Lepisosteus oculatus: one gene and its partner. Each later gene encodes a partner of the first gene's protein in a complex. Links are inferred from orthologs where the notes say so. Each region holds a gene or a part of one and is shown in the gene's direction. Other genes may lie near its edges.

Evidence for each region. Proteins that work in one complex are often made in the same cells at the same time.
Region 2: gapdh (region 1) and rpl13a share a complex: the UniProt entries of both Homo sapiens proteins name them as parts of the GAIT complex. The link is inferred for Lepisosteus oculatus from reciprocal best matches to the Homo sapiens genes GAPDH and RPL13A.

The regions. Positions count from the first base shown.
Region 1 is NC_090718.1:3,652,591-3,659,732, forward strand, and holds the start of gapdh (glyceraldehyde-3-phosphate dehydrogenase), read left to right. Parts: upstream 1-3,963; 5' UTR 3,964-4,064; intron 4,065-4,826; 5' UTR 4,827-4,849; coding exon 4,850-4,872; intron 4,873-7,142. UniProt on the Homo sapiens protein: Has both glyceraldehyde-3-phosphate dehydrogenase and nitrosylase activities, thereby playing a role in glycolysis and nuclear functions, respectively.
Region 2 is NC_090706.1:7,938,365-7,946,454, forward strand, and holds the start of rpl13a (large ribosomal subunit protein uL13), read left to right. Parts: upstream 1-4,890; 5' UTR 4,891-4,966; coding exon 4,967-4,987; intron 4,988-6,063; coding exon 6,064-6,136; intron 6,137-6,477; exon of another isoform or gene 6,478-6,560; intron 6,561-6,625; coding exon 6,626-6,691; intron 6,692-7,080; coding exon 7,081-7,182; intron 7,183-7,293; exon of another isoform or gene 7,294-7,363; intron 7,364-7,670; coding exon 7,671-7,756; intron 7,757-7,801; exon of another isoform or gene 7,802-7,879; intron 7,880-7,962; coding exon 7,963-8,022; intron 8,023-8,090. Other genes in the region: atp5if1b (ATPase inhibitor B, mitochondrial), read left to right, coding at 210-284, 1,858-1,970, 2,592-2,733. UniProt on the Homo sapiens protein: Associated with ribosomes but is not required for canonical ribosome function and has extra-ribosomal functions.

The DNA.
Region 1 (7,142 bases):
TGGCCCACAGTGCCTCGCTATGGCATGGCATCCTACTGTCACTGTAGTATTGTTTCCTTTACCTGTCTGTAATAAAACTACACGCTGCTTATGTAACCGAGAGTAGCTTTTGCTGGATGGGGGGAGGGTGTATTTACTGGAGGAGAAATTCACCAAGCCATGAGCCTGATGTGAAGGGAAACTCTCCACCACCCGCGGTGATTCCTTGATCCCGGCCGGCTGGAGGAGTTCGACACCCCCCCGAGGAGAGAGGCTGGAGAGACCCGGGCCCCAGGTCCCATCTCCGTCGGGTCCTGCCCTCGTCGTGTGCCGCTTGTTCATCGTCAACAAACCAACACCGTGTCCGGAGATGCTGTCAAAATAAAAGATTTGTGTGGGTTTTCGGAGTCTGGGCTGCATTATTACTGTCGGAGCTCCGTCGTGGGACAGCTCCTTGATCAGATCCGAAGATGCGACGTTGCAGTTTCTCGCGAAGCCACTGGGTGTCAGCATTGCGACGCGTATTAACAAAAAGGCGCCGCTTCCCCATGAGAAACGTTTCACCTGTTGGCAGTTCAGCTCGGAGACAGGGGACGCACTTTCTTTAAAAGGGGGAACAAGGCGGGGCTGTTTCTTGTAAGTTTAGTTCCTACAGTGGATCGAGGTAAACTTGAATTCACAATAAACCTCTTACACTAAGTACACACTCTTAACAAGTCAAGATTCTATAGTGATACCGACGTTCATAAAAAAAGGGTGATTGTCCTTTATCGATCAGGGTAAGTGCTTGCTGGGGCTGGATTTGCACAGCGCAAGAGCCCCTCCAAGTCCGACCACTTGCTGTTGTCCATGCCTTTCACCTGTCCCGGCTCCGAAACGACGGTCGTCCCGTCCTCCGCAGAAGCGCTGACCAGCTGGAAACCAGCTGTGGGTCGAGCGAGATGTCTTTTAGATGGCTCGGTCAGTAATGAACAGGTTCTGACCGGGATGCAAGCAACCCCCTTTTCATACCGCAGCGTGTGGCATTCACCGAAGGAGGACTCTGGGAGTGGATGGAGAGGGGAAGCCGGGGGTCGGGTTTTCAAGCGAGGGCCAAATATGTCTCTGTCGGCCCGGTCTAGCCGGCGCCAGGATTTCCGATTCCCTCCGTCCAGGCCGCCCACAGCAGTTCCCTGCCCGGCCACTGAGGTCAGATCCCCCTGCGGTCCGGTGTCTACCGGGGCTGAGCGGGGTTTCGGACCCGAGCGGCTCTCCCAATTTTTTATTTGTCCCCTTTTTTGCCTCCTTTCCTCGGGAGCTTGGCACTGGACCCAGTCGCCGGTAGGCTCGTCGTGCTGAGTGCTGGCGGAGCGCCTGGCTGGTCGGACCCGGTGCCAAACTACCTATTTTCCCTGCTGCCCGGCTGGGGGGGGGGGGAGGGTATCTTGGCTCACCCGGCCAGTCATTAACGACACCCCCAAGAAGGTTCCACAGCCGAAACGTGGTTTCCTTTCTTCTCTTTAGGCACTGCAGATCAGGCACTGCAGATACAGTACAGTGTAGATTAGACTCTGTAGATACAGTACAGTGTGGACCTGCTCTGTAGATACAGTACAGTATAGATTAGACTGTGTAGATACAGTACAGTGTAGATCTGCTCTGTAGATACAGTACAGTGTAGACCTGCTCTGTAGATACAGTACAGTGTAGATCAGGCTCTGTAGATACAGTACAGTGTAGATTAGACTCTGTAGATACAGTACAGTGTGGACCTGCTCTGTAGATACAGTACAGTGTAGATTAGACTCTGTAGATACAGTACAGTGTAGATCTGCTCTGTAGATACAGTACAGTGTAGACCTGCTCTGTAGATACAGTACAGTGTAGATCAGGCTCTGTAGATACAGTACAGTGTAGATTAGACTCTGTAGATACAGTACAGTGTGGACCTGCTCTGTAGATACAGTACAGTGTAGATTAGACTCTGTAGATACAGTACAGTGTAGACCTCCTCTGTAGATACAGTACAGTGTAGATCTGCTCTGTAGATACAGTACAGTGTAGATCAGTCTCTGTAGATACAGTACAGTGAAGACCAGGCTCTGTAAATACGGTACAATGTAAATCTGGTATATAATGTAGTATATCTGTTCTGCCCTATAATGTAGTATAGTACATTATAGGGCAGAACAGCACACCATAGACAGCTACATTGATAAATTGCAGTATCAATCTGGCACTATATATAATACAGTACAGTTTGTACCTTACTCGGGGAAATACAGTACAGTGTAGTGCAAGCATATCCATGGTGACTTAAAGGCAATTTCAGACACTGCGACTGACTGCCTGGGCATTAGCACCACGGTGAAAGAGCGAGGTACAGAGAGTGGGGGCACGGAAAGGTCAGGGTCCTTCCAGCGAGCGCTGAGCTGACCTTTTCCTAGCTCCCAGACGGAAATCGATCCCCCCAGTCTCTCCGTCTCTGGAGAAGGTCAGATGCAGGCAACCGATCTCGCCAACCAGACTCCCGGCGCTCACGCCCCTGTCCGCCTGTCCTGGCGGCGGCGTGTGTGGCCTGAATGTCTTTGCGAGTGCGCCTCTGCCTCTGAGTTTTAGACCATGGCCCGTCTCTTTCACTCGCATGCAGTCGTAACCCGACGGCCGGGGTAGGAACGGCAGACGCGCGGATCCCCACGTAGCCCCAGTGCGGCCGATCCAGCGTGTGCTCGGTCGCCGTGGCAACGCAGCCACAGAGCCTCCTCGCAGCCAACGAGTGACGTCGGAGAGTCGGAGTGGCAGCGGAGGCCACCAATAAGACAAAGGGGGAGGGGCAGGGGGCGGGGAGGCCGTCTCCGGGATAGGTCGTGAGGCTAGAAACTTAATTACAAACCCGCTCATCGGCTGCCGTTTACACTGGCAAAACACTTCTTGCGATTCGCTCTCTTGTATACGTTAAAGTCATGCGCGTCTGCTGCTCTCCTGTCTATTAACCATTACTATTTTAAGTATTTCATAATTTATTGAAGTAGTTCAGGTGGGGAGCTGCGTCAGCATGAATAGGCTGCAGAGGAACAATGGAGTCATGCCCTGCTGAAAAGAGAAGAAAAGAAACACAACGTTCTCTTTTCATCATGGAATAAACCTATTACTTGTTCCATGAATAATTTATTGGTTACGAAACCACCCTATTCTTCTTCTGCTTTTATTCTAGTAGCTGTAGCAACAGCCTCTATTATCTTTCTCAAAGGCACCTTTACACATTTGGGAAGGGTCAATGCTTACACAGCACCCCAGAGATCAAATGTCACACCTGCGCTGTGGCCTAACCACCCCTGACCGCGGTAATATGACAGGCTGCTCATGATGAATTCGGAGCCTCCTGTCTCCTGCATCAAGGAGACCTTTGTACTGAAGACGAGGCGACGCCTCCGGCCTGCGCCAGCCAATAGGAACGCGTCCCCCTCGCCACACCCAGCGCGCCAGCATCACCCACGTCTTTCTAATATAGGTGCCATACACGGGTCTTTCAAACTCCTTCATTCCACGAAGGAGAACTCTGAAGTGCATATTATTAGCTCATCTCCAAACCACCCCACCCCACAAAAAAACAACGCGTTGCAGTATGCAGTATCGCGTTTGTTAACAGTACTTTTGAAATAATCTTTGCGCTTTGAGAAGCCACCTTTAAAGGCGCTATATAAAATAAAGTTTATTATTATTATAATCTCTCACTTCAATTCTGTATTGTGATATAGTGCACGGGGCCATCGCATTAGATCAAGAATAAATGCATGAGGTCACAAGCAATAAGAGCAAGGGAAACATACAAAAAAAAAAGCATCGGGACACTTCCCATGCAGCGCCGTGACGCACTATCCCCGCACGCTGCTCGCGTGTGTTCTGCAGGAGCCGTCATGGCGGCCGCGGACTCGGGTGACCTTGAGGTTCCGCCCGCGGAGCGCCGGCAGGAGGCAGGGCGGGGAGGGGGGGGGCGTGACCGTCGCCAGCTTACCGGTATAAAGTGCACCAGCCCGGCCACTGGCTCTTCACTCCACTGAAAGTCAGAGTTTCCGGAAGGGCAGAGGAGCTGTAACTCACAAACGGTAAGTATGTGGTTTCCTGAAGCTGGACTTTGTGTTGAGTGTCTAGGGATGTAATAGGGCTCAATATACCACTTTTTTGCGCCTTTGTATTTGGAGCTATCGGATAGACTATTTGCATCTGTCGTCTGTGCACCTAGCAGTCGTTTTGCTGTGAAGTGCCCAGTTCTGTGCGGAAAGGTCTTGTTTTCGGAGGCTGCAAGGCTGTATCGTCTTCTAATGACGCGCTCCTACTGCACAGTACCGCTGTTCTTCGCTTGATTGGGGTTCTCTGCTCCTCCGTCTTGCAACACCTCCGTTTCGCGTAAAGGAATACTTGTAGTGTGTGTGTGTGGGGGGGGTGGAGAGATGGCGACCTGCTTGCTTCATTGTCGCTTACCGTTTAGCGAGCGAGCACGGCTGCAGTCTCAAGTCTAGCATGGCGCCGTGTGTGAATCGTAAGCTCGCTGCGTTGTGAGTGCGCCGATGTTCTACGGAATACGGCTCCCCTCCGACATAGGTGCGAGTTTAATGTTCGCCAGTTCTCATTTCTACAGGATGCTTAGTGTGGGTGGGCGGTATCTGTTGAAGTGCCTAGGGACGGTTCTGGCTTCGGTACAACCTTGTACTTAAAGGAGAAACGGGAAAACTTTTGGAACTAGTTTCGTTTTTTTATTTTTGGCGGTTGGCTTATGACGTTTTAGACGCTACTGCGCCTGAGCTTGTTCCGTGTCATTCGGGGTGCATTTTTTCTTAATGTTTTTTTTTTTTGTTTCCTCCTTCTAGACGAGGACTTTAACCTGTTAACCATGGTGAAAATTGGAATCAACGGGTGAGTAAACCTTCATCAGGTCACTGATCCACTGTGTGGAAGGTGTAAGTGATCCAACTTTGTGTGTTGGATCTGGTGCACATGAGAGCCTAATTTCAAAGTCTAACGTCCTGAAAGGGCCTGCCATCTCATTCTTGTAATTCGGTTAACCTGGTTTCATTTAAGCATCTAACCAGTTTTGGAGGTAACTGGCTTTCATTCTTTCAAGATGTGCATTTAGCTTTGAATGCTTTAGGCTTCATGAGGAGGAGAGCTCTTGACTTGAAGTGGCTCTCCACCTTGGCCTTTAAGCAGTGCCTCCAAATTTGGGAGTGTTGTTCAACGGAGCTCAAAAGGTCAGGAGAGGAGCAGATAATGTCTCTTCTGCCCCAGTGGAACCTGTGGGCCTACATGACCTGCTTGGATTAAGGGGAAACTTGATTGCTCCACTATATAGTGTGGGTAGTAACTATCCCTCCAGATCCTGGTTTCACATGGCTCTCTTTGAGGTCCTTGTGCCTTACATTGACTGAAATGGCTACACCTCAGTCTGTTATGTACTGATCTGGAAGAGGCTGTGCTATTTGTACCGCTCTGGACATGAGTACACAACAGCAGGGGCTTAATCTGACTCTTATTGTAGGTGCTCATTTGCAACCTTGGGTTCACCAGCAACTCCCAATCGGGTGTCCAGCTGATGCATTTCCACCTGGGACTTTGAGTCTGAGGCCAGTGCTTTTGAGTCTGGTGCCCTAACCCACCGGGGGGAGGCCTGATCAGAGAGCTTTTAGCCTGTGAAGCTAAAAGCGGTTATCTCAAGACTCGAGGGTCTTAACCTGGCTTTGCACAAGACAGCTGGAGACCGGCTTTCAACATGGCTGAGTTTCTTGTTCCATCTTCCCCATAACCCATTGGGTGCAGTGCTCCCCCCTTGTTCTGCGGTTTTATTCTGGCAGGTTGCTTGGCTTGATTTCCTCGGCCCCTAGCTGGCTTTTGCAGTGTTGCCACTGGCCCAACTGGGTGGGGAGAAGAACGATCTGGAAGTCGGACCAAGCCCAGCAAGCTTGGAGTGTCAACTAGGTGGTTAATGATGCCAGTGTTCCTCCCTGGCATGACTTTAGATTAGCTGACTAAACTACGCTCCTACAAAGCCATCGGTGTTTGAGTTTCTGCTTCAGTTGCTTGATTTGCTGGGGGTGGATCCAAAGACCCATATTGCCACAATATTGTTACACCCAAACTACCAGCTGTCCTGCTGAGTCGCAAGTGCTACTGCACTGTCTGGCTTGCTCTCTGCTCCCCTTAGTCCAGAGAGACGGCGAGCTGCTATCTTGCTTGGATTCAAAAACTAAAACCACATGTAAAGATCAGGGGTTATAGTGAAACTTCAGTCCCTGATCTCCATGCCACTTTTGAATACTGGGGTGGGGGGACTGTAAGTTTAGATTGAGTGCCCCAGTCAAACATTAAGGCTGGTAGTCTGGAGGTTTGCCCTACACCTCCTTGCCCTGTTCGTCTACTGTACTCTTCAGTCTGTGCTCTGTAACCTGTACAGTTGGCCTCTTGGTCTGCTCTATTTTTAGTTTAGTTCTGTTAAGTGACACTAGTCGAGGCACAGCTGTCGCATTCTTCTCTGCCTATTTTAGGCGAATAACCTTTCTTGAAGGCTGGGGGTCATCCAGTGATCTTTAACTCCGACCTCTAGCCTTTTCCTGGGTGGAATGTGGTCCACAAATGAGATCCGTTCAGTAATGGCATTTTAGTTATAGGTCAGGCTCCCACTCTGTGACCTGGAGTGGTTCAGTCAGCTTTGCTGGTTGTGGAGGCGCTATACAACCCAAGCCTGCAGTTCCTAAGTGGGTTTCCCACTACAGGATGTGTTAGACCTCTGTACAGCAGGTGCTGGCTTGTCCTGATGATGCCCACCACTTGAACCCGAGATGCACTTCTGGAAGCTAGTGTTAAAATGGGAATTCAGCTGCATGAAAGGACACAATAGGGTTTATAATTTTAAAGGACCTTCTCCAATCAAGCCTGGTGACTTACAAGGGCTGCCCATTTCAGTTCTGGTGTGCTGTGGCTTTTTTCAGGCTTTCCTCTCCAGCTGAAGAAGGGAGCAGTGGGATGACTCCTCCCCTCCAGTTTGGAGGTAGCCAGCCAGTCAGGACTGGGGTGGGGCAGTGGGGAGATAATGGACCCACTTCTGACTTTAGACCCAGATAAAACCCTGTTTATCAATTACTTTTATGGAAGTGTGTGAATGTTCTGTGCTTGCTTCCTACTATGAACAG
Region 2 (8,090 bases), on another chromosome or scaffold:
CAGAGTTTGTTGTTATTGATAGTGAGACATAGATGTTTATACTGATTTTATTGTATTGATATTCACAGAGGGAGATCGAGCTTTGTATCTTAAAGGTACCGCACAAAAACACACTCCGTGAAAGGTGTTGGTGGGCCCGAGGCTTTCCATATAAAACACAAGGACACCCTGACTTGACAGCGACTGTTTGAAAGCGAGGGGAATAGAAAATGGCTAGATTTTTGAGGTCTAACTTTAGGGGTCTCCTCGCAGCTCAGATTAGGATGTCATCGGATTCAAGCCAGGTAAGGGGGGTGTTTACGAAAATGTAAAATTTCCAAGCCTGGGAAAGTGAGGTTTACACATTATTCTGCTGTTAAAGTGAAGAAGTCATACGCAATGAAGAATGCGCGGCCCTGAAAGTCTGTTCTTGTTTTGTTGTCTTTGATTAATTTCACCTTTATTTACGAGAGAAGTAACAAAGGGGTATTACGATGATTGCCGTTGCAACGATTTACATTAACTTCGTTTTTCTTAATCATTTAAAGAGACGTTTATTTTATTAAATAGCTGGTCTGGGTTGGGTCACTTACTCATTTATATTTGAAATTGCACAGTGAACTTTCTATTGGCTTAACAATAAAGTTCCACAGTTTATATAACAAATAAGATAAGGCTATTTGGCTCATCCAGCCGGTCTGATCTGAGGATTTGATCCAGAGATTTCATAAAACAAGCCGGGGTATTTGGCTGCAACTGCATTACTGGTGAAGTGCTTCACGGTCCCTCAGCCCTTGGAGTGACGAAGGGATTTTTAAACTTTCTTTGTTTTAGAGAGCTGCTGTGATCCAACTGCTGTCATGGAGTCTGTCTGCAGGTTTTTCAGGCCTCTTTAAAGCAGCATCACCCGAGAAGTAAGAAATTGAGAAAACTAGTCCAATTAAGCCAATTGCAAACTGGTTTAGGTCGATACGAGTCAAATTGGAATGAAAACCTGCAGACAGAGCAGCCCTCTACGCATAGAGATGCAAAGGACGAATACGTGATTGCAGAGAAAGGAAGCACAACTGCTTTTAATAATAATGTAGGTAGATTCAGGAGATTAAACGTGATTGTTAGATGACTTGTTTGAAGAATTATGGAAGCATGCCATGGGGGAATGAGTACAGCTGTAAAGTCTTGCCCTCTCAAGTTCAAGTTCACGTTTATTTGTCATTCCAGCCATAAACAAGTATACAGTATAGAGGTCCACGGTGCAAATACAGACAGGACACTGACATAGACATTGTAGACAGGATACACATAGTGCAAATACATAATACAATATACACAACGCACTGGGGGGGGGGGGGATTTAAACCCTGTTTCTGGAATTGGGGCGGGTGCAAGTAGATTCCAGGGTGTTGAGGAGCCTGTTTGTGTAGTCGTATTCAGATCTTTATTCTATTGCCATTGCAGCAAATGCATATAGTAAATAAGAGCTCTTACACAAGACATGCTGCTTCCAGTGCTGGGACCCTGGGTTCAATACCAAGCCTGGGGAGCTGTGTGTGTGAAGTTTTTATGTTCTCAGCCTATTTGCATGGGTTTCCTCCCACAAGACAAAGACGCACTGATGGGTTAACCAGCAACTTTTGTGGGAAAAATTGGCCCTGGTGGGAGTTAGTGTGTGTCTGAGCCCTGTGATGAACTGGCGTCCCGTCCAGGGTGTGCCCTGCCTTGTGCCTGTTGCTTGCTGGGATTGGTTCCAGCTCCTCTACGACCCCGGATTCTAAGAAGAGGTTGGAGAATGAATGGATGGCCCGCTGTCCAGGTGAATCGTGCCATTGTGTACACGGGACTCATGTCATGTTTTAATGCGCGGTCCTCTTGTTGCAGCTGGGCGAGCTGGGCAAGGGGGCAGGAAAGGGAGGCGGCGGCGGGGGATCGGTGCGTGAGGCCGGCGGGGCGTTTGGAAAGAGGGAAGCGGCCGAGGAGGAGCGATACTTCAAGTAGGTGCTCTGCCCGCTCGATGGTCAGCGGGAGCTTAAAAGCAAAACGACACACGGTGCAGAAATTCAAATGGCGACTCGCACAGTCTGAAGGCAGAGTCTACACAGGTGGGTCTTGAAGAGGTGCCCACAGGTGGTCAGAGACCGCGTGCTCCCGCTGTCCATATGAACAGCGCTAAATACCTCCTATCCTTGTGTTACGTTCCTGCAATCTGTAACTGTTTTGTAAGTAGTAATTTATTTAATTTATTGTATTGCAATCCTAACCTAATCCCTAGAAACTTCTGTCCTACTCCTCTTCTATCCCTCTTAACGAGCTCGCGGATAAAGCGTTTCATTGCAGACAACGCCCATATTTGCTGTACTGTTCGTGCATTGTTAAATAAACCTTGATTGATTGATTGGCTGGGACCACCACAAGGGGGCGATACAGGGGACTGAGTGGACACCAGAAGCAGGGAAAGTGTGAAAGTTGTCATCGGGGCTAATGGTCCTTATAACAAACCAGAGCTCTGATTTTGCTCCCATTTTGTGCTTGACTTTTGTTGATGTTGTTGATGTCTTTAGCTTACTTATCCCCATTCTTACCCTGTTCTTTTTTTCCTTCTGCCCCCTCTTCAGGCAGAAGGAGCGCGAGGCCCTCAGTGCCCTGAAGAAGCACCACGAAGAGGAGATTGACCATCACAAGAAGGAGATCGAGCGCCTGCAGCGAGAGATCGACCGCCGCAAGGGCCAGATCAGGAAGCTCAAGCACGACGACTGAGTGGGGCGGATCTGCCAGGCGAGCCCCCCCCACCACCCCACGGGCTCTGTGCCGCCCGTCCTGCAGTTTGCTGATGTTCTGTTATACATGCCATGTCAAGTAAATGCACATATCATTTTCAACAGGGAACCTTTGTCTGTGTTGTTTTTATTGTAAAAGAATCTCACTGTATCTTAGATTTTACTCTGTTAGGGAAAATACTGATAATGCTTTATTTGAATGGGGCTATGTGACAATCATAACTAATTCAACATCATGACACCCTGCATTAAAAACATCAAGCAAAATAAACTTTTGTACAAACACTCCAGGGCCTGAGCTGCATCTGCAGAAAGTCCTCATCATTTCTCACCTCCTCATTTTTTCATCTGAAAGCATGTTTCTTAAACATTATGAATAAGAACGAATAAATGCCTGTGATTCTATTGGTATAAGTGATACTATGGAGTAATGCATGTTGTTACACAAAGGAATTACGAAAGGAGTGATGTTGTTCTGCATCTCTGTTTAAGAAACCTTAACCAAAATACCAATCAGCATCCTACATTTGTCAGTATAGAAGTTTAATTATTTGGGGATGCAATTTAAGTATATTTGCCAGCTGCGTGCCTGTATTGCTTTGTACAGTATATAAACATTCGTATTAAGGTAGTCTCCCTCCAGCTGTCTGAAAATGTTGTGGATTGGACCTGAAACCAGGAACTACACACTTGTGACAGGGGGATTTTCAGCCATGAAGAACCACATCCAGCTGGTCTAATACGTCACTATTAAAGCACCACTTTCAGGACACCGATTTATTGTGATCAGGGAAGCCACTGTCACTTCATCTTTTCTGGAACTAATTCAAGCAGGAGTAACTGAGGAAGGAGGAGATGTGGGTCAGAGAGAGCCGTAGAGGAATGAAAACCCACAGAATATGGGCTTCTGTAGAACCCCACTCTACAGAAATCAGAAAGAGCTCTCCTTTTCGACCTTACACATGCAGAGTTTGGGAGAACTGTCAGTGCTATTGATCCAAGTCGATCATCAATTTCATATGACAAACAGGGGGTGTCTCAAAAGAATATGCGGAATGATTTGGACCAGAATTATCATGTAGGAGTTTTACTAAATTACTAGTCAGTCTTGGAATTCTCATTCTGGCACCTGCCTGGACTCCACATGCTGTCTGTTACTGTGATCTGCTGTCTGACTAGCTGTCACTAGCATAGCTAGCAAATTTATCAACTAGGCGATTTTAGTACTCCTTGGAGCAGTGGCTCCTAACTTGGGGCGAACGAAACACCCCAGCTGTCCTTTCTGGGGTGTTAAACATGCTAGATTGTTTTAGAATTGTTCATGTATTCTCAATTTTACTGCAAAATTAAAATATATTATTCCAAAACAGGTTGAAAAGTGTTAATTTTAAAACGTTCTTATAATATAGAAGTAGTATTTCTATGTATGATAAAACTTTTTGATAAAGCAATTTTGATAAGAGGTGTGAGAACACATTTCAGGAGCCAAAGGGGTGCAGACTGTAGTAAAGGTTTTTGGGAGTACCTTACTATATCCAGCTAATTCATTTAAATTCGATAAAAAACTACGAAGCTTTGTAGTACCAAAGTCTTGACAAAACTGTGTTGGCATGTAAAGTTCTTTAGGGATAAATATCTCCACGTTTCGTTAGGAAGTCAGGCAAGACAGTCACACTGATGTAAAAGAACTAGAGTAACGCACAATGCATCCAAAGCTGTGGACTGCCCGTTTCAGGGATTATCATCTCTGATAAACTGTATATTTATACACGCGTTTTTAAAATCTTAGATTTTAAGAGCCTAGACTTTAGATTTAGGGCTGAAGGTGAGACACGGGACACTTAGAATATTACTATTTACCGGGGTTGTAAATAGCGTAAGGGTTAAACATCGAATATGTGACTTGTTATATATGTCAACGTTAAAAAAAAAGAGATCTTAATAAAAAACGAATGACCCCGACGTGATTTGAACACGCAGCCTTCTGATCTGGAGTCAGACGCGCTACCGTTGCGCCACGAGGTCTTAGCGGTTAAGCTTTACCTCTCTCTTTATTTATTATTGTCGTCAGCAGCCACTGCCGGACGTCACGACGTCTTCCGTCACACGTTCGTCGTCCGGCTCACGAACAGCGCTTCCTCTCTGCACGAAGCTCCTCCCTCGCCCCTGATTTTTACTCGCGGCGTCCCCGTTTCTCTCTCTTTTCCCACATCATGGCGGACCGCTTCAATAAGGTGTGTTACGGGGCTGCTGTGCACAGGCAAAAAATGTTGGGTAAAGATGGGTATTCTGGAACCGAGGAAGGGTCAGTGCCTGTGTGGAAGTCTCTCTGTTTCGTGTGTTCAATACCGAGGAGTTTGGTGCAGTGAATCAATTGAATTTTGTGGTTTTGTTTTGCCTTGCGATAGGAGTGTTGGACCGGCATGGAGTACTCCCTGTCTCTGGGGCACGTTATCAGGTTTTCAATTTGCGAATTAGGCTGACACGTTGAAGAATGTTCCAAAAATGTCCGTGCTGCTGCTCTGTTTCCTTCTCCCTGTTATGTTGAGTTTCTCTCCAAGCCTGTAATGAGATAATTCCCGTCGCCATGTCTGCGTGTCTCGTAGGCCTGAATCCATTCATGCTTGCGGACAGTGTGATGAAGCGGACCCATTTCTGTGTAGTGCGGTATTCTGTACAATTGTAGGCAGCTCTGGTTGATGTAAAAATATTTTCTTTTGTGAAGAACCTCGTTTTAAAACCGGGCTGCATATTTTCATCCGTCGTAAAGCGCGAATGTACTTAACGATTAATTTTTATTAAAGCGCCACACGTTGTTTCCCTCACGTATTACTTTGAAAGTGCTATTAAGCGTTTCTTCCTTTCACGGTTTTTGTTTTGTGATTACCTCATCCTTTGTGATTTGTGTTGAGAAACAAAATAACGTTTTGTAGTGGTCTTGGGTGTCGGTGAAGCATTTTCGTAAGTGAATAATTGATTTTCATGGCAAACGTTGTCCCGCGTGATAAGTTTCTGAAATTTGCAACCAAATCTGGATCCCGTAGAAGTGTGCTCAGCACAACTCTTACCAACGCGTGTTACTTGGCGAGTGCAGTTAATGATGGCCTTTTCAGTTTATATATGATGTTGACCATCTTTATTAATATGAATTAGGACGTTGCGTTCAGTTTAGTTTAAAATGTTTGCCCCCAAATTAGTGGCGAAATACTTTTCGACGTAGCAGTTGCTGAGGTGCAGTGCGCTCATTCCCAATGCCCTGGTGGTCAGCAGTAGCTCGTCGGCTCTAACTCGTAATTTTCTTTTCCTCCAGGTTCTGCTACTCGATGGCAGAGGCCATCTGCTTGGTCGCCTGGCTGCCATTGTGGCCAAACAGGTTCTGCTTGGTAAGAATCTTTCTTTCTGTCGTTTATTTGGGCAGTTTTGTCTGAAGCAGCCCAAGTGATATCCCTTGTTCAAGAAAGAGGACCTGTGCAGTGTCCCATCTGGGACGTGTGCCCACTGCCTTTTTCCCCTCTGATTGCAGGGTTGGTGTCATAATGAGCTTGTACCTGGTTGTAAATAAGCCACCTTTTTCACCATCTTTCACTTCTACCTCTGCTGCAATATGTAATTGCTAAAAGCAGTTACAGATTGTACTACCAGTTGAAGTAGTTTATTAAAATAAACGTTTTAGAGGTCATTTTAAGAAGTTCAGTTGTCTAAAAAATGGACTGACAAATACCTGACTGTCTATGATGATGCTTATCCTACATTGTTCGAGTTTAACTACCATGAGAAAACTTGACATGCACTACCATCTGAGACGGCAGATGGTTTTTAATGGCAGCGTCCAGCAGTCCTTCGATGTGCCTAACCGCCTGTTACTTTTACAGGCCACAAAGTGGTTGTCGTGAGGTGTGAGGGCATCAATATCTCTGGGAACTTCTACCGGAACAAATGTAAGTGACCTCTTCTGCACTTCAGTTTAAGTCCATGTTTGCGGCATATCTGCGGGGGATCCCTCAGTTTAAAAGGATAGTGGCGACCAAAGCGAACTGGAAATGGCCTTTCTTGTGGGTGACCTAAGATCTTAGAACAGAATTGCTGAGCAAATCATGCATTTTCTGGTCATGGTGTAAAGAATTTACCTATTCATTATTCCTAGCAGGCTTTGCATTTTTTTTGTACTAAACTGAGAACTTAGGTCCGTGGGTAACTGAAGTCAATGTAATAATGCATGTGTGGCTAAGCAGGAGGTAGAGGCTGGTCTTTGTCTTGGGTAGCACAGTAAGTGCATGGTGCTGTCACAGTTTGGTCATGCTCATGTTGAGCTTTTGTCTTGGAACAGTGAAGTACCTTGCCTTCTTGCGCAAAAGGATGAACACCAACCCATCCCGTGGGCCCTACCATTTCAGAGCCCCCAGCAGGATCTTCTGGAGGACAGTGCGAGGTGAGGCGCTCTGAGGGCTGGAGCCTTCGATGTTACGGCAGCTTACAGAAGCCACAGCATGCGTTGACCTAAATGGGTGGCATTGCGACTTGCTCTCGACTGCTGATTCCTGAACTGTGATGAGTCTTATCCCGAACCTGACCTGGTCTGATGACAAAAATATGGATCTGACTGCTGAGTTCAGATATTCTTTAAACCTATATAAACGTTACTTAATAGTGTATATCCATAATAGTTAAACCAGCACTTTTCTTGCAATCAAAGCGATGCTTTTCCATTTTCTGGAAGGCTTTTGTGAAGTCTTTTTCCAGGAACGTAGCCCTGATACTTAAGATAAGTTGCATCTTCTATATAGATGCCCTTTAATAATTTTACTGCATAGGGCCAAACATGGCTTCACCAAATGCTGAGCAAGGGGGTGCTCAATTAAAAAAAAAAAAGAATTATGGTGACTTTTTAGAAGTAATTATGCCTTTCTTTGTAAACAGGTATGCTTCCACACAAAACAAAAAGAGGCCAGGCTGCATTGGAGAGACTGAAGGTCTTCGATGGAATCCCCCCCCCTTATGACAAAGTGAGTGGCTCCTGCACACTTCATGCACCTGATCCTCTGATGTGCGCTGTCGATGATGCTTCTATTCTACCTACATTGTTTGAATATTCTTAAATGAGAACATGAAACACATCTGAGACACACTGACTCTTGTCCTTTAAAAGGCTTTGGTTCTATTCGGTGAAACTTGACACCCCTCCTCTCTCCCTCCCCAATGTGTCCCGCAGAGGAAGCGTATGGTGGTGCCAGCTGCTCTGAAGATTGTGCGCCTGAAGCCAAGTCGCAAGGTGACTGTTGTAAAACAAACATTTGGTTTTGGCCTTTATAAAATGGCAAACGTCTGAAACGTGTGGTT